Linked DNA regions of Daphnia pulex. The protein of the gene in region 2 binds, or shares a complex with, the protein of the main gene of each other region. Links are inferred from orthologs where the notes say so. Each region holds a gene or a part of one and is shown on either strand. Other genes may lie near its edges.

Region 1 (9,302 bases), on a different chromosome or scaffold from region 2:
GAATACCATTTTGCAAACCAATTTCATTTTCTATGGCTCAATAAATTATTACATAACGATCGCACGGTTACAGGTAACCTGAAGAAATCTGCTCTGGCATCAAGTTCCACCTCACTAAGATGTATGAAACGACTTCAGTTTAAACTGAACGCGGCGGACAAGGCATCATTATAGCAAAGCGATGGGCAACGAATATGAACAAAATTATTTACGTGGTCTACAGTCTTTTAATTTGATGACTCCAGATGAAACACATCCAAAATCTTATATTATTTCTCGTTCATAACTACAGGAGAATAGGGCAAAGTGTGTCGTTTTAGGTTGTAAAATAAACGCGGAGCTGAAATCAACTACACCCCTTCTCAAATTGCGAATGTGCGCGTGATAATTTTCCTTAACCAGCGGGATTCATTGTTGGTTCTGGTTTGGTGGCAAAACCAGTCAAAAGCTTCTTGATCTCGGCAATAGCTTTTCCCGGGTTCAGGCCTTTTGGACACGCCTTCGTACAGTTCATAATCGTGTGGCAGCGGAAGACCGAGAACGGATCCCTCAGACGATCTAAACGATCTTTAGTAGCTTCGTCACGAGAATCAATCATCCAGCGGTAAGCCTAAGATAATCAAGTCAGCAGTACGAACAACGTGACAGAATTAGGCAAATTCCTAACCTGCATGAGCACAGCAGGGCCAAGATATTTATCGCCGTTCCACCAATAAGAGGGGCACGATGTGCTGCAGCATGCACACAGAATACACTCATAGAGACCATCCTGTTAAAAAAATGTATTTAAAGTAGAGAAGGACCTATTGTGCAAATCAAGTGGAATAATACCAGTTTCTGACGATCATCTACACTCTGCAAATATTGTTTCTGCCCCAACTTTGATTCATCCTTGCGTTGCAGCCAAGGTTGAATGGACTTGTACTGAGCATAGAAGTTACTCATATCAGGCACCAAATCCTTAACAACATACATGTGTGGTAGTGGATGAATCTTCACAGGTTTGTCCAAATTAGTATCAATTTTGCTGTAGAATGAAGACAATTAATACAAAAGGATCAGTTTGAAAATATTTTCAAATTACCTAATACAGGCAAGAGAATTGCAACCACCAATATTCATAGCACAGGAGCCACAGATACCTTCTCTGCATGACCTCCTAAATGTAAGTGTAGGGTCCATTTCACTCTTGATTTTAATCAAAGCATCAAGAACCATAGGCCCACACCTAAACATATACAGTTAGACATGCCACAAAATTTTCAAATTTCTGAGTTTAAATTGTGTTACGTATTCAAGTCCACTTCATAGGTCTGAAGATGCGGCTTATCCCCAGAGACATCAGGATTCCATCGATAGACGGCAAATTTCTTGATTCGAGGTGCAACAGCAGGCTTCGCAGCTGCAGCGGTAGCCAGGTTACGTAATTGCTGAACGACAAGTAAACATGAAGTACACCTATAATAACCATTAGATGAAATATATAAATTACCATGTACTGCCTGGATAATCCAACAGCCTTGCTGCCTATGTTTTCCATGTTTAGGAAAAGTAGGAATTACAAAATCAAAACGAATAATACCAACACTATTTTTCCCAGCTGTACTACTAGCAGCTGATTGAGAACAAGACCGTATATCGTCGTCGGATCGGAAATTTTGTGATTTTCCCTTTTTCCTTTTTCAACTCGGCGTTGCATTTCTTCTATATTCATTATTTTCAAAATCTGGCAACTAAAGTGCATCGTCTGCTAAGAAATAATCACAAATCACAATGTGATGTGATTCCGTCCGTCTATTTTTTATTTTTGCAAAGTTTACAGAGCGAAATTTCTAATGCAGCGTTATCTCATTAAATTCTCGTATTCGGGAACGCGCTTTCGGTATGTTAATATAATCATAGAATTATATGTGACCATATGTAAAAAAATAACGAATCTTACATTTCTCAGGGGGTTACAAAGACAGCCTGGAGAAATATACAACGATGAAATTCCGTACCGAGCTTCAATTCAGACAATTTTGGAAAAAGGAATTTTAAGATTCCTTCAACACAAAAAGTCAGCTACCTCCTTTGAACCTGGTGTCCAGTTCTCAAGCCGGTAAAAATATCCTGTAATCTTCGCTTATAGTAATATGAAGATTAATTTCCTGTATTGAACAGTACAGATCAAGGAGTGCATTCATTTTGCAATTTAGCTCATGTTGACTTGGAGCTTCTGAAGAATGGTAGTTGCATCCCACCACGCACCCTCCAGAAAACTTTGCATGTGTTCTGTCAAAAATCTGACATCAATCTTACAGTGAATAATGTGGAAGCTGTGCCATCAACTTTTCATGCAAGATATTCAAGTTATTCGAGACACTACCTTTACAGAATTGGTGTAACCCCAGAGGATGTTAAGTGTCATCCTGTCATTGAATGGAGAAAGTGCTACTTCATAGAGAAACCTTTTTGTTTGGACAAAGCTATTGAAGTCTGCAAACTATTTGAAGGAACTAAAGATTTCGCGTCATTCTGTCACGGCATCAGCGGGAGACCACCGGGGTACCCTACTGTTCGAACAATAGATGCTTTCCATATCAAACCTGGAAGGCCTTTGTTTGATCCTTTATACGATCCTTTGTATTCGGGCATTGATTTTTATGATTTCCACATCAAATCTCGGTCGTTCATGTACAGACAAGTGCGTCGGATGGTGGCTCTGGTGGTGGCTGTAGCTAATGGTCATATCAACCTTGACGAAGCCCGTCAATTATTTGATCATCCAGGACAGTGGAATCCGAAAGCTATGACAGCTCCACCGTACGGATTGTATCTTCTAGACGTTGGCTACAAGATTCCTCAAGATGAGCAGCCTCAACGAATTATTGAAAACTAAGGGACAAAATTTGCGCCGAGTGACTACGCGAGTGACTTTACCGAGTGGACGAGTATTTCATGAAGGCGACGGAGTTGCAGTGGAGAGTGAACAATCTTACGGTTTTGTCATCGATAACACACCAGATCTACAGGTTGGCCAAGTAGAGGAAGGCCTTTTTGTCGCTTCTCAAGATGTTGCCAATGATGCAGAATTGATTAAACAGTATGGGATCACCCACGTACTGAACGTTGCCGGAGTTCCATCTCAGAAATTACTTGACCTTCACTATCTCGATGTTCACATTTTGGACTTGCCCGAAGAACCGCTAAGTTGTCATTTTGCCAAGTGTTTTGAGTTTATAGATGAAGCGCTTAAAAACGGTCGTGTGCTTGTCCATTGTAATGCTGGTGTTTCTCGTTCTGTTTCAATCGTGGTCGCCTTCCTAATGTGTCGTCGACAAAAGAGTCTCTGTGAGGCTATAAGTCAAGTCAAAGCTGCCAGACCAAGAGCTCAACCTAATGCGGGATTTGTAAAACAGTTGAAGATGTACGAGTCTAGTATTTTGAACAATGATTCAAAACCTAACAGTTAGAGTGAAACCTTCTTAATACACGAATTGCCACATGCCAATTGTCTACAATTTCCTAAAATTCGGGTAGTTGGGATCCACAAGTATGTGAACATTAAGGAAATAATTTACACTCGGACAATCGGAAATATTCGTGAAAGTGATATTTAAAAAATTAATCATTTTTTTATCAATACATATTGAGGGTATTCATTTCATGAAAGGTAATTCACAGAGATTACGCGACCTTATCAAACAATGACTTGTCGTAGTGAAGACATAATCCACGTTGCTAAATCTTCGTCCTAGAAAATAATAGAAACTCAGTAACTTTATTAGGTTTTGTTTTTAAAAACAACAATTAACCTGCAAGGCCCAGGAGATCATCATGGATTTGCGATCTTCTTTGTCTGTCGTCTCCATTTTAATACTAACCGACTCCAAATTGAGTAACCCCTCGTCAGACGGTTTAACCGGGTAGTTAGTATTTTGTCTGTAAATTTAAACAAAAGATGCTCAAGTTATATTATCTTTAAAAAAAAGTATTGAGAATTCTTACGAATTCAAAATAAGCTGTATCTGATCCATAGCTCTAATAGCGGTTCCGGGTAATCTTAGTTGGATACAGGAAGTGAATCGGATAGAATGCCGGTTTAAACCTAGTTCACCGAATGCCTGCTCGGGTTCCATAAGCTTGAGAACCTATGGCCAAAACAATGAATAAAAATGTAGGCAGAAAGTATAGCTAAATCAAGTACACTTACGTTGTCTTTCATGACGAGCACACCATGCATACGGCAAGGTCGTTTCGGGTCTGGTGCGCCAACCGTATCATAGAGAGCCATTTCTTTTTTCAGCAATGAAAGTGATACATCGACAGGAACAACAGGTTTGCATGGAATGTACGCCGACTCCCCGTTTGCCGGCATGTAACAGTCGATACCGTACTCTTGTTGAATTTTCTGTTTCAAGAACTCCATTTTTACGCCCTCTCCGTGAACAAGGAGCACATTTTGAGGCTCGCAATATTGGATTAATTGCATGATACCCTTGGCGTCGGCATGAGCGCTAAATGACATGTACTGATAACAAATGAATGGGATTAATTGACAGATATTTGGCGTATTAGTGAATCCTAATAACTCACCTGAACAGACATTTTCACTTCGATAACTTGTCTGTTTTCAATTTCAACTTTTTTAGCACCACTGAGAACTTTGGCACCAACCGTTCCAGAGACACAGTAACCAGGCATAATTAACTACGTGGGGAAAAAAGGATTCCAGTTAGTTGAAATAATTGAAAATATACATTTGTATTATAATTTATCTCTTCCTACCATGTTATTTTCATTGGGTGCCCATTTTTTGAAGAGTTGCAAAGAAAGACCTGCGTGAAGCATCCCAGGAGTGGCGAAAACGACCATTGGACCAGGTGTATCGGCGTAACTTTTATCGAAAGGACGGATGTGTTTGAACTCGAACATGTTTCTTTGAACAAAAGTCTTGCGAATCTTTTGATTGGTCCAGGTGATGAACATTTTGTAGTAATTGTTGGCCTATGAAAAGGGAAAAAAGTTTAAGAGGATTCAAAAGATTAACTATTTCAATCGAAGTTACCTTTTCAGTGAGACCCACAGCAAAGTAGATTGGCGCTTTAAGATTCATTCGTTCCCAATAAGTTTCCAAAAGAATACAAAGTTCTTGAGCTCGACCAAGTGCAAACACGGGAATGAGAACTTTGCCTCCTCTGTCTACACAATCATGTACTTTCTTTAAGAAATCCCGCTCTCGACAGCGTTTAGAGTCACGGATAGTTGTAGCATAAGTGGATTCCGATATAAGTATGTTGGGTCGGCATTTGTCGATCCAGGCGGCACCCAAGTGTCGATCCGGAGTCATGTTATAATCTCCCTAATAGATATATTTTACAGGTATGCACAGAACCAAGATTTCCAATATTAACTTACAGTGTACACCACAGATTGGTTGCCTACTTTGACGTGAAACATGGCTGCACCCAACACATGACCAGCATAGTAAGCTTTTATTTCAATTTCTGAGTCTACCTATAACAAAAAAAAATTAATCAAGATATGAAAACCCTGGCTGAAGTAAATAATGGTATACTTGAACAGTTTGATGCAGAGTGACAGCAATAACCTTTTTCATGCAATCCTTGATGTGAGCTGAAGTGAAAAAATTGGTTTCACCCTTTCTCTCTACAGCCACTTTCCTCATGTCCTCCTGTTTGGCAAGTATAAATTATGCTGTAACATAATACCAATTTGTGAAATGTAAAAAGAATCTTACCAAAAGGATAGGAGCAATAGCCTTTGTTGGATGAGTCATGTAAATTGGGCCATTATATCCAACCATTTCAGTCATAAATGGTAAAGCCCCACAATGATCTAGATGGAAATGGGATATGATGACACAATCTAGGGATTCTGTCAAGTTTCCGTCAGCAATGTATGAAAAGTCTGGAAACCGTCGCTACAGAATAAAAGATTTGGGTAAGGACAAACAAAACTTTGATGTTTGAACAACCAAAACTAAACTTACCTCATCATTGTACCCCATATGCATGCCACAATCTAACATGATATTCTTTCCTCCCATTTGTAGTAAAATACAACTTCTCCCCACATCTTGTCCAGCCCCAAGTGGTGTTACTTTGATATCTGTCATAGCTGAATTCAATTGGCCTTTTTCAAACGACCAAAGCCTTAATTAATAGTTTACAATTGTCCTTCAAATTTTCCACAAACCTGATTCAAATTTATATCATCAACATTCAACAGCACTGCGTGAAAAAATTTCTTTTCTAAATGAAAATTGGAAATAAATATTGCCGGTTACTCTGTTGCCATATTTCAAGCTTTGATCACTTTTGGGGAAAATTCGGATTTTGGAATTCGGAATCGGAAGTCGAAAACTCGAAATTGAAAATGAAGACAAGCCAATTTTCTAATCTTATCCCATCTAATTAATGGAGCATTTATTAATGAGCGTCTAAATTGAGTTTAATACAACGTAACTCCCTTTTTCAATCGCAAATACTGCGCATACAGATACTAACTTACTAAGCCAGTTTATAAGCCACTAAAGGTCGATCCTGCGAGGAATCTATTCTAAAATCCTTTGTTCCGTAGGTGGGGCAACACGATTATTAAATTCATTTTGTTATGAAAACGACGGGGAATTCAAAAAATAATAAAAAAATGTTAATAAAAAAAATTTGAACGTGCCAGGGATCGAACCTGGAATCTCCTGCTCCGTAGGCAGGCGCCTTATCCATTGGGCCACACGTCCTGTACGCAAACGAGTATTTCTTAAAAGTACATAAAGATTAAAGTTCTGGCCTACCCAGGTACACAAAAACTTTTTAGTTTTTACTGGGTGGATTAAAAATTAAATTAGGGAACGACATTTGTTTGTGAATTTAGGTATGAAAGAACTTATGGAATTTGATCAATTGAGTGAGATGACGCATTTTGGTTTCGACGCTAGCAAACACGGGCGGGGTTATTTGAGGATATTGCAGATTGCTTAAATAATTTATCTACCAATATAGATTTCCCTGATGGATCACTGACGTTCATCCACCAAATTATTCATATCTGTGGTGAATCCATCACTGCAGCCAAATAAGGCAAATGTGTCCAAATTTGTTATGCCTCCGAATTCAATTATGGACAATTTTGGTCCACAACGAACTTCACTGCGCTTCACTGGCAGACGCTGACAGAGGTCTGACGGCCATCAAATATTTGCTGATTGATTTTTGAAATCTTCGAATAGAAAATTTGCTTCTTGTCTTGAAACCACCACAAACAGCGCGATGCACAATAGAGGGGACATGGGACCGATTGGATTCACATATTATTTCAGCGCTAATATACTATGCTATCCATCTGTGGAAGAAAGTTTAAGCTAAAAAATCCTATGATTTGGTTGAAATTTAAAATGTTACTCGCTTAAGTTAAAAAAAATATATTATTATTTTTTAGTTTAAGAAAAAAAAAACAGCAATCGTCGATCGTCGATTAGTAACAAAATAGTTCTTCACTGATGGACACACCCCGGTGAGCATTGGCTTCCGTGACACTTGGTCAGCAACATTTCCAGTCCCGTCACCAGTTTCATGATTGGACTGTCCACGGCGAAAGAGAGGATCCGCTCGACATCTTTCAAGGCGGGAAAGAGAAGCGTCTTCTGGTTTTGATTCCGATCGATTGGGTGATGGAACGCTGCGTCGAAGAGCCGGCCAACATCAGTCGACGTGCAGAGTTGCGCCTGAGCCAACACGCAAGTGGGTTGTTCCGCCGCCAATCGAGACGGGCGATCAAACAGGTCAGCGATGGAATCGCTCCAATCCAGGGGGGTGGCGTCGCCGAAATCTCTCCTCCAGGCCGCGCTCTTCACGTTTCTCACCATCAATTCCGCACCGTGAATCATCTGAGCGATTCCGCAGGGCAGGCGATAATGTCCCAGCATCAAGACGTGATCCATCAGAAACAGGAGATGGAGCTGAGCGGCGCCATTTGCACTTTCCGTTTTCAAGGAGATGCGATTTAGTTGACGATCCAGTTGTGCCGACTTGTCGATATCACCTTCAGACACGACGAGGGCGACGCTGGGCACCAACTGAGATCCTTCCGCGGAATAATCATCGCGAAGAATAATCACTCCTTTGTCCTCGGCACACGTGACGTGTGAATGAGTTTCGTCCAAAAACGGTTTCACGTTCTGTTCCAGCCATCGCCGCAAGCGTCGCGATAAGACAACGGCTTGGCTACGGTCCACTTCGGCAGGCATGTTGAGCGAAGTGACGGGGAAACGGCGAAGCAGTTCGCAAACGGCCGGGACCGTCCATTTCAGCAGCCACGACCAAATACTGGGCCACTCGAGACAAAGTTGTTTCCAGCTCATCGCCTTCCACGGAGAGAGCATCAACGTCCAGCATGTGTCGTCTCATTTGGAGAGCTTCCATCAGGTCGATCCAATCTTGATTGGCCGGCAAGTCTTCGACGCTCGCGTCCACGTTGAAATTATGCCCGTACACGTTGCCGAACCAGCGGGAATCCCACGGAAGCTCAGAGGCATGTTCCAGCAGCTGGGAGCGGAGAACGTCTCCCATCAGGGCGTCGAGTGTTCCAGCTGACATCTTCTTGGCAAGGCAGTCTTTTCTCCAGTCAATGTCTTTACCGCTGGCCGTCAGATAGACGAAAAGGACGGCGTCAGGGTGGACATCCGCATCGGCCAGTTGCTGAATTAAAACGGAAGCTTTCCTTATGTATAAGTTAATCAACTTGCAACAACATGAAAAACACCGCTATATACACAACAAGATTTTATAATGGTCTTTAAAGATAACTATTATTAAATAACATATAAGATTTAACTTACCGTAACTGACAGGATCACGATTGTGATCCATTTCATTGACATTTATTGGGATGTATCTGCTTGTCGAACCTAGATTAGCGGATGTTGGCAAGGGTATGAATGACGCAATATCTTCATGATAACAGATACAGAAACATCCTCATCAACGCTAAAGCTTTCCTTGGGAACCCGTGAGAACCCAAAAGAGATAAGGAGCCTTGGCTATTCTGTATTAAATCGAATCGCCATCTAATTTTACCATAATCGTGGGGTTCGTGGAAGAGATAGCAGGATTTCTACTCAATGGTCATGCAGTACAGATCAAGTAATAAAGTACATGAAGGATGTCGTGCCGAGTCCTTGAAGAGCAATCATTGCTGTGTCGTAATTCGTAAACCATGGTCAAGTGTGTTGCAACGTTGGTTTACTGCGCATTCGCAGGTTACTTTCCCCATATTATACCGAGTGAACCTCACCAAAA
Region 2 (9,302 bases):
AGGCCAAATAGTCAAATATTGGTCAATTTTTTATTTTTTTTTAACACGAGTCCACACTGTGAAAAAAGAAAGAAAAGATTTTAAACGTTATACCCTTTATAGGAAGATGATGACAGACAAAAGCGAATGACCGCACTCCAGACAGACTAGACCCCAGCTGCTGTCCCAAGATGTAAATCAACTGGATACTCATTATTACCCCCAGATCCAAAAAAGCATCAGAAAGTTCTTTTAGAAAAGAGGCATATTTAGTTTTCGAAATTATAACTTGGTTGAAATAAACGCAAAGATTCGGATACACTAATAGAGATTCGCCCAATCGCAGTCATCAACTCCTCTGTCCAGTTTTTCTAAGCAGATGCTGGCCAAACTAAACAAAAGAGAAAATAACTATTTAAAGAGGTAACTCTTTTAACAACAGTGGAAACAATTTCAAAAATTTACAGGCTGCTGAATAGTTCCGTTTTCTTTGTCGGCACAAACTGCTTCCGGACGAGTATAGACAAAGAGCTTTCTCGGACTGGGTGGAGCAGGTTTAGGTTTCGAATTCGTTGGCTTCGGTGCAACGGGCGAATTAAATAGATATTCAGTAGACTCCGAGAAGGAATCTTCACGATCTTCACGACTTTCGCGTTCTGGGGAATCACTTATTTGATTCATTTGTGCAAAACGTTTCCGCAATGCAAGAGCTATCATCGTTGAAGGGTCAATGTCGTCTTTATCTGGCCTGTTCCTTCCTTTTACAGGAGTTGCATTCACCGACCTTGAAGAAAAGATTGAATTCATTAAGCAAAGACCAGCAAAAACATTTCTCTTCGCTTCTGAAAATTTCAAACACGATAAGAAGCTATTTTACACGGAGCCCAGTAAGAAAAGCAAAGGACTTACGTTCACCAATCCCATGGCAGACTACATATAAAGTCATTTTGTAACATACATAATTTAATACAAGAAAAAGAAAATCGTAAAATGAATCAATCTTACTTTGAGTCGTACCTGTCCACTTTCTTCAATTTAACTTTGCCCATGTCTTTTAAAACATCTGTCATGGAGGGTACTGACATGGCTCGTGACTTTCGGTCTACTTGATCTGTGGCTTTTAAGCTCTTATTTTGCAATGATTCAGCCAAAGATAGTTTTCTGTTAGGTGTTTCGTTGGCAGTTCCGTTAATGGGTAGAGGAGGAGGTGGAGGAGGAAGAAGTCCAGTAGACATTGGAGGTGGTGGAGGAGGTGGTCCAAAGAGCATGGTGGCAGGCGGTGGTGGAGGTGGAGGCGGCATGAAAGGCGGAGGCGGTGGAATGGGAGTAGCAGGCATGCTTCCATAGTCTACTAGACATATTTGTGCAGGACACAAAAGAAGAAATTTATGCAAGTGCTGCAAGAAAATCAGCGAAAAAGATTACCTGACGTTCCTGGTTTATTATTTGTCGCAACGTTAACTATTTTCGCAATCTGTTCTCTCAAACGAGATAGTTCATCCTCCAGAGCCGAAATTTTGGTCATGGCCACTGTGTCAATTGTGCTTTGAGAGCTGTACAATGAATCGGCACATACACTTGGTGGAGATGCTGATCGAACAGAAGGAACATCGTCTTCATATGGAATGATTTCCGAATCAGCAATGGATGATGATGCTTTGGGTTTCATTTTTTTACTGGATAAAATAAGAAGTAAGTTTAAAACAATATTGAAATGCTGCACGATTAATAACTTACTTCCAAAAGTCAATTTTGCCATTGTTGTCTAAAGTTGGAATGGCTGCTAAGCCTTCATCAACTGTGGATTGTGCATCCCATTCTAAACTAGATGAATATTCTGAGTTCACAATTGTAAAGTGTATGCGAGGAGACGGTTTGATGGGAATCCTGCAAGCTAATTTTCGTATTAAGCTCCTCTGATTTCCAGCATCTCCCTTATGAAATATGTAAAGTACCTTCGGGCAAAAAAAAAATTAAATATTTTTTTCTATAAAAGTGAAAGGTTGCTTCAACACTTACTTGGTCTGAGGCATTTACCAACACAGAATCAATTCTAAGTTGCTGAGCAATGAGCCACGCAAAATCTTGTAAATCTATACGAAGCTCCTGAAGTACATCGATTACCGTCCTCATTAACTGATTCATTGTTATGACTTTTTTAATATGGCAATCGAAAGAAATTTAACGAATAAGAAAGTCACCCATATGACCAGGAAATCAACAATAAAGAAAAAAACGCTTCAACTTGGGGGTTTCAACTTAGGGATAAAACAAAGCGAGCGAAGATTTAACTCAGCAATTCTCCTCAAATTGAGGCTACATACTTCAAAACAAAGTCAATATTAGTTCGATGACGAGAGCAACTACTGTCGTCCCTAGTAATATGGGTTAGTCTAGTAAACTGAATGATATGCAAATGAAATTCACAGAAATTACAATGCAACAGACGATATAAAATGCAGCATTGCCATTTCACAACGTGATAACTTTGGAATATTTTTAAAAAAGAAAAATTATAATCTATAGACGTCATTTCCCGAATAGAATTCCGCGTGATTCCTTTACAAATTTTAGTATTTTTAAATTAAAATTCTAGGGACGTCGTTAAGCTCAATGCACTCCAAATTTAACCCAGTTCTTTCGTCAGAATTTCTTTGTTCACACGGGTAAACCGTCGATACATCTTTCACGACCGTCACTTTCTACAATTATTTATCCTGCTATTTATTTTTATGCTTGGGTTTATAAGAGAAAAATTCGAATGTATTTATGGTGATGTTCACAAACAAGGTAGACATTGTAGCAAAATATCCCTCAAAGTTCTCCGTAGCGCTTCATCATGGCAGTAAACATGAGTGTTGGAACCTTCCAGTTGAATCACAGTGTCCTCTCTTGGCTAAAAGACAAAATTGGAAAGACAAGTTATTACGACTCTTGAAATGACAAAATGATATACGGGGTAGTACCAAGTGAATGACGACGCCTCGAGGAGTGTCTTCGACCCGAGCATCTAGCAAACCATGTTGACTGAGCAAATGCAACAGTTGAGTTGTGTCAACAGAGCCCCAAGGATGGCGAGGCAGCATTCTCTCCGACGCACTGTACAATGTGCCTCCTTCCTCTTCGTTTAATACCTAGATTTGAAAATAGTAAAAAGCTATGAGACACTGTCACAAGTTAGGAGAACAAAGGACTCACTTTCAGAGTAAATTTATTGTCACGAGCATCCAATTTTCCAGTCAGAGTAGAAGCTGAAAGGCCCGTTTTAAATTGGATGGGTTCGAGACGAGAGGCCAGGGCCGGATCAAGATGCACTTTTTCCTGCTTCCTCTTAATTGGTAACTGTAACACCTGGTAGGACTTCATACCCAATGCTGGTGGATCCAATTCTAAAAAAAAAGAAAGAATAAGGTTAACTGACTGGCCAACTAGATCCAGTTCAACAGGAATCGATCGAAGACTTACCCTGAATAACCAAGTCTGATCTTAAGGGAGCCGACACTGGCGGGTGGAGGTAAACGTCTGGAACGAGTAAGTTTCCTGGCTTGAGATCGCGTATCAGTTTATTGGCTTGAGTGAAGCTCAAACTCGTGTCAATGGGACAGTGAACGATTTTCATGGTCAGTGGTTGATAGGGGGCCAGCGCTTCCAGGTAAGGGAAATCGGGTTCAACGAAGACGATACTGTGGTTGCTATGACTGCCCCATAACTCTATGAAGTGAACTACATTGCCAAAACGAAGGGAAGGATGACCGCAAAATACGACACATGGCTGTCTGTACTCGTTGGTGAATCCTTCGGCATGCAGGCTTGGGAAGTGTTTCAGTCGACCATTTTTGATGAGATGGGCGTGAGGAAATGGTTCTTCTGGGAGATAAACTTTGCTCTGCTTGCCTGAAGATAACCTATATGAAATGAGGATGATAAGTTGACTAAACATTTTCGGAAAAATAATAAATGTGACAAGCCGAACCATTCAGCGAAGATGTTGGAATAAGCCAAGGAAGTTTCGGCCACGGGAGAGAAGAAAAACAGCGGAATCTGACTAAGACCAATATTGTCTAAATGAACTGAGAGACATTCGAACAGATCGTAAAGAAGGCCGGAAGGGTGACATGGGACTAGGCAAGATCCGCCCGATCGTAACGTGGATGCTGCAAAAGGTTTAAGGAAACATTGTTAGTTTTTTTCTAATGTAATTTAATAGAATTTTACTATTTGAATTACCAACTGCCATGCAGAATTCGCCCAACATTGAATCTGGATTGGCCACGGGGGTCTGAGTCAACGCTGTCAAGATCAAGAGATCGGCATTTCTAAGGGCAACTTGATCCATCGGCCTGTATATGGAAAAAATGGTATAAAATTAATTTGTTAAAAAAGTAACACTAATTAAGCTTATAGAACCTTGGGTGGGTCGTGAGAGTAGATGAAGCGCTCACGTACGCAATCTTCTCATAGCCGGAATGAATGATCCAATTGCAACTACCAAGGGAATATCCAGAACTGACGGCCATCACAGTTAAAGCACCACAGATATCCTAAAAGTTGTCGGTTAATATTGTTTCATAAGAATTTTTTAAAAATCCGAAAAAGGACGTACAATTTTTTCGTTGAAGCCAACCATGCGAACTTTTGCCAGGGCTGCATTGATGGCTTTTGTGGAATAGACTTTCTTCCAATCATTTGGTCTCAGAGCCCCACTGAGAGGAGGAGGAAGAGACTGGAGTACTTGCTTCCATCTGTTTGCTCGCTGATTTTTGGGAGTCCTTTCCAAGTAGTTGACCAGTTCTTCCATGTAGAGCCTACGACAAAGAATACAATATAGTCTCAATATTGTGTGACAACAATTGCAGGTTGCATACCTTCCAATCTGCAAGGTGGGTTCAGTTGCATATACCCTCCCTTTAAAGCCAGTTTCTTCAGTGATGAATGGCAGGGCCAGCATGCAGGCATGATTCGATAGCAAGATGGTATCCACATCAGAGATGTCAAAAATGTCTGACTGAGGGGGCAGTATCTCTATTGGGCCATCCACCAACACTCGATTTTCACATTCTTTCAGTTCCTATACAGGATAAATGAACATTTGAAATGACACGAAGATAGAGAAGAGATCAAATCTAACTCACTCCATCAAGAAGTGCAGCATCCTGTGTGTCTCTCGGGATCCAGTTTGGTAAATTTGAGAGCCTTTTGCTGGCAACGAGAGGCAGAGGTAGAAAATGAAGGGCCGAGTTGATATCCAGCCCACAATCGAGCATCAGCGAAACGCCTTTGAAATTCAAGATGTTGCAGGGTTTATTTGGGTTGGCGCCCAGACTGTACTATGTAAACAGAAACTGTGTTTATCAGACCGCTCCATTTCGGTGAAAGGAAAATATTAAAATGCTTACGATTTTCATGTTGTGGGCGCGTTTTATCTGAAAAGTGACAAGAAAGAATTTTTATTTCAAACTCGGTATATGACAGACAGATCCAGACTTGTTTGTTTGTCCGGTTCGTACTTACTACACGAGCTGCTAGCAGACTAACATTTGAAAACCCAATGCAGCGTTGTCATTTTTCAACTTGAAAAGATAGGTTCATTTTATTTTATTATTTTATTTTTTTAAATAAGAGCGCCGGAACGCGAAAGAAATAAATCTAGAATAAAAATTGAAATCTGAATCACATATTCGCTTTTGAGAATGTGTATTGAATAACGCCATCGGATACGCAACAAACAAGCGAAACAAAAGAAGCTACAAAGTTACACACATTTTGTCAATGATTAAGAACGAAAGAATATTATATCACTCTATACAGTTTTGTTGGTTGTCAAAAAAAAAAAATTCGTCCATTTCGTCGATTGTGTTGCAAGACACGCCCTTATCAGTTCTCCGTCCAGTAGGGTGTTCAACTAAATCTTGGTGCAACCAAGAAAAAGGAACTTTCCAAAAAATCTAACCGGACTGGTGAATGATAAGGCCAAGTCATTGAACCATTTTCTCCACAGCGAGAGATGATACGTGATGCTCCTTCAGCTTCCGGTGTCGAAATGCCTCCTATATATATTTGATGCCCCTGCAACAACAGAAGAAAAAAAACACACACACAATAAAAAGAATCCAATAAGCAAGACCCAAGCAAGAAAATGAAGAAAACAACATGGTCGATGATCGGCTTGGCCTCTGTGTTTGGTCGGGAGTCTGCTGTGTGTCTGTGTGAGAAGAGAGAAATAAGAGCAGACACGGTTACTAAGGGGGAGAGAAAGGGAAATGAAATACGATGGGGGGGAACACAACACACACATCACAAATGGGTGTCGGAGACGACCAACGACTATACCCAAAGAGGGGAGAGCATTTTTCCTCTGTATATATATATATATACGTGAGCAAAAAGGAGAGAGTGAACGGTCTTTTACAAAATGGGAAACATCTGCCCGGCTGCTGGCCCTTTTCCCATATCAAAAAGGAAAGAAAAGAATGAAAAAGAGAAGCTTTTGTGTGTGTGTTTGATATATACCATGGGGTAGGTGGTAGTAGTAGTACAGTAGTGTAGTTGGGAAATCAAAAGAGCTCAGGGGCCTCCCCCCTTATTCACCAGAAATGAAAAAAGAGAAAAAAATGTCGATACTCTGCTGGGTCGGTTGAGTGATCTATCGAGAGAAGAAGAAAAATGTGTGTTCCAACACACGATAGCTGCTGCTGCTAAAGGCTCTTACAAGAAATTGAAGCCGGAGCAATGTGAGATGTGTCTCTCAACACTCGAAGAGAGAAAGAAGAGGAAGCAGCAGCAGCTTGCTTACGACGTGTTTGTTGTGTGTGACCTCGTCTGACCGTTTTAACCATCAACGGATAGAAGGGAGGGGAGAGAGAGAGTTCAAAGTCTTTTTTTTTCTATTCAAAATATATATAATTTTTCTTCCCCCCCCCCTCTCGCTGTGTGTTAAGAATTTATTTTACAGCCGGTTCAAAAGGTTATAAGCGATAATGCAGCTGGCGCTCGGGAGTGTCTAGGCAACAACATTGGGCATGTCTGCCTCTGTCTGAGCGTGTGTGGCGTATAGATTAGATTAAATGGACGGAGCAAGGGGGTGGGGATGCAATTGAATCATTTGAAGGACGTGGGAGAAAATTGCTCCACTTCTTTTTTTCAAAAATGTAAACGTCAAATAAAAATAAAAAAGCCTACGGATATTCAAACGAGTTTGGCCAGAGTAAATCTAGAAAACAAAATGACGCGTCCGGTTTCTTTAAACTTAAACGAATCAAAGTTGGCAACCGCGAGATAACACACACACACCGAAAGAAAATAAGGTCGTTATTACACACACAAAACGGATGTTGCACTGACGGTCTGAGAATTAACTAACGAAATTTGGAAAAGGAAAAAGCTAAAATGGAAAAGAAAATGATTTGTTATCGGATGCTGCACGGAGGGAGTGAGAGAAGGGAATTAAACCAATTAGCAGTTGGCATTTTCCGACTAACGTCGTATCCGGTCTCTCCCCCCCCCCCCATCATCCCGCACACAAATAAAAATCACAGAAAATAAATAACAAATAAAACATTTAAAAAATATTACCATAAATATGCTAACGTTGAAAAATGATGTGGTGACGACGACGATATGTGAGTTGAGGAGTCACATCATCAAACTAAACGAACTGTCGACGTTGTCTCTCCATCTACGACTACGGCCACCACCTCCTTGCCCACCCCACCTAACTGTCTGCTTCCCCCCTCCTGACTGAGCGACGGCAGATGGCGTCGGCGTCGAACCCATACTCTGAAAAACCGCCGGCCAAACACACACGCACACACACAACACAACTGCACACACTAGATGAGAGAAAACGTGAAGCCATCTTTATACCATGTGAGTGTGTACGGGCGCTTTTACTCCACCTTCTCGTCGACTCATCGATCGGGAGCACATCCCAACCCCCCCTTCCTTTTGCGACGGTGGCGCTGACGTCGTGCGACGCTTAGGATCACTCCCATTCTCTTGGCTCTCCCCGTGATGATGATTCTCGGCATTGTTTTTCTTTTTCAACCCAACGGATTTTCAAAGTTTTTTCCTTTTAAAATATTGGCAACATTAATGCAAACCCCATCAAAATAATGTGGAAACGGAAATGAATTCTGAAATGATAGAAATCGACACACTCGCCGCGAAGGCGAAATACCACGAGATTGTACGACACGCCGAGCCTTTCCTATATAATAAGATGGCCGCCCTTTCTCTCTCCTAATGGTGTTTCAAAATTTGTTTTGGCAAAATGAAATTGTGTTCAACTAACCTTTAGATCTGCCAATCAAACCCTCAAAACCGATGACGACACGACAGAAAACTAGAAAAGTAAAAAATTGAAAAGAAAAAGAAATTGGACGAGAGGAAATTGGAGACGTCCGACGAGGACGTCGACTGGCCGATGACTGCGATCCGGCGACACGCAGTGAAGAAACTTTAATACCGCCCCATCTCTCTCCTTCTGTCTTTCGTCTCTCCCTATATGTATCCTCCTCTATTTTGTACAGGGCCAGCAGATGTGTGTGTAGGGGAGGAGGATGCTGTACAACCCCCCTTTATTTTCTCCCACCCACCCCCAAAAGATAAACTTAATCTTCTAGTCGATAACGGGCATAAACGCTGTGCTCTTCTTCGACATCTTCTTCTTCTTCTGGGTTGTATGACCCACCCAAAAATGTGTGAGAATTTTTCCCTTTTATCACTCTCGAGTGTAATTTATCGAAAAATGGCCGCCACACATTTTCACACACACACTGAGAAAAAAAGGGATTTAATGAAAAAAGTTCATTTCTTATCAGATGCACATGCGCAGCGAGGGGGGGGGGAGAAATTAAACAATTAGAATATGTGCGGAATTTTCGGTGGATAGGGGGGAACCGTTGTCGATCTGTTGCCTATTAGGAGCAGGGCGTAGGGCGTATTTGGTACTAGTTTTAATGAATTCACCATGTTCCATGCTTTTTATTATTATACGATCCAGCAAACAAACAATTTTGATGAAATGCTTACATCTATACCGACAAGTGGTGCTGGGGGCTGCAGCTCGACACATTTTTCCTTGACAACCAAGAAATGCGATAAAAACAGACACACAATTTCTTATATTTCTTTATCATAAACGGGAGACAAATAAAATACCCTTGGTCTCTCTACTAGGAGTTATCACACATGTTCACTCCCCCTCTCTTGAATGTCATTTAAAAAACAATTGAATAACAAGAAAATTCAAATGAGATTTTCCCAACTTGTTGAAGGATTTCCAAAAATCAACTTGAGCACGTTGTATAACTATACAATTTCCA

What was found.
Region 1: the proteins of integrator complex subunit 9-like (region 2) and integrator complex subunit 11-like are in contact, whole or in part, in a cryo-EM structure (PDB 7SN8), measured with the Drosophila melanogaster proteins. The link is inferred for Daphnia pulex from reciprocal best matches to the Drosophila melanogaster genes IntS9 and IntS11. Residues at the interface, in NP_648838.3 of Drosophila melanogaster: Glu128, Tyr198, Asp199, Glu200, Lys201, His230, Asp333, Ser334, Ala337, Tyr338, Asn340, Ile341, Glu344, Gln351, Val354, Tyr355, Leu356, Pro357, Asp358, Asp359, Pro360, Arg509, Lys510, Leu511, Asp512, Arg513, Ile514, Tyr515, Ile516, Ser518; in NP_651721.1 of Drosophila melanogaster: His94, Lys97, Ala98, Pro135, Thr137, His139, Gln140, Ser141, Glu149, Lys151, Lys274, Thr277, Tyr278, Lys280, Met281, Phe282, Ile283, Thr284, Trp285, Phe294, Val295, His296, Val450, Lys451, Ile452, Pro453, Val454, Asp455, Ala456, Ser457.

The regions. Positions count from the first base shown.
Region 1 is NC_060018.1:12,406,769-12,416,070, forward strand, and holds integrator complex subunit 11-like, read right to left. Parts: upstream 6,322-9,302; 5' UTR 6,202-6,321; exon of another isoform or gene 6,139-6,201; 5' UTR 6,122-6,138; coding exon 5,996-6,121; intron 5,927-5,995; coding exon 5,744-5,926; intron 5,678-5,743; coding exon 5,561-5,677; intron 5,500-5,560; coding exon 5,401-5,499; intron 5,345-5,400; coding exon 5,051-5,344; intron 4,990-5,050; coding exon 4,771-4,989; intron 4,693-4,770; coding exon 4,579-4,692; intron 4,514-4,578; coding exon 4,196-4,513; intron 4,134-4,195; coding exon 3,991-4,133; intron 3,925-3,990; coding exon 3,798-3,924; intron 3,737-3,797; coding exon 3,683-3,736; 3' UTR 3,581-3,682; downstream 1-3,580. Other genes in the region: succinate dehydrogenase [ubiquinone] iron-sulfur subunit, mitochondrial-like, read right to left, coding at 395-610, 668-769, 832-1,027, 1,085-1,228, 1,291-1,430, 1,493-1,540; tRNA pseudouridine synthase-like 1, read left to right, coding at 1,836-1,882, 1,952-2,101, 2,164-2,881; dual specificity protein phosphatase 19-like, read left to right, coding at 2,850-3,455. UniProt on the Drosophila melanogaster protein: RNA endonuclease component of the integrator complex, a multiprotein complex that terminates RNA polymerase II (Pol II) transcription in the promoter-proximal region of genes.
Region 2 is NC_060027.1:3,454,356-3,463,657, forward strand, and holds integrator complex subunit 9-like, read right to left. Parts: upstream 5,523-9,302; 5' UTR 5,385-5,522; coding exon 5,376-5,384; intron 5,307-5,375; coding exon 5,112-5,306; intron 5,048-5,111; coding exon 4,845-5,047; intron 4,785-4,844; coding exon 4,583-4,784; exon of another isoform or gene 4,521-4,582; coding exon 4,387-4,520; exon of another isoform or gene 4,320-4,386; coding exon 4,207-4,319; intron 4,143-4,206; exon of another isoform or gene 4,134-4,142; coding exon 3,953-4,133; intron 3,885-3,952; coding exon 3,445-3,884; intron 3,369-3,444; coding exon 3,178-3,368; intron 3,114-3,177; coding exon 2,946-3,113; intron 2,876-2,945; coding exon 2,759-2,875; 3' UTR 2,721-2,758; downstream 1-2,720. Other genes in the region: mitochondrial fission regulator 1-like, read right to left, coding at 329-370, 445-763, 985-1,330, 1,405-1,655, 1,717-1,934, 1,999-2,124. UniProt on the Drosophila melanogaster protein: Component of the integrator complex, a multiprotein complex that terminates RNA polymerase II (Pol II) transcription in the promoter-proximal region of genes.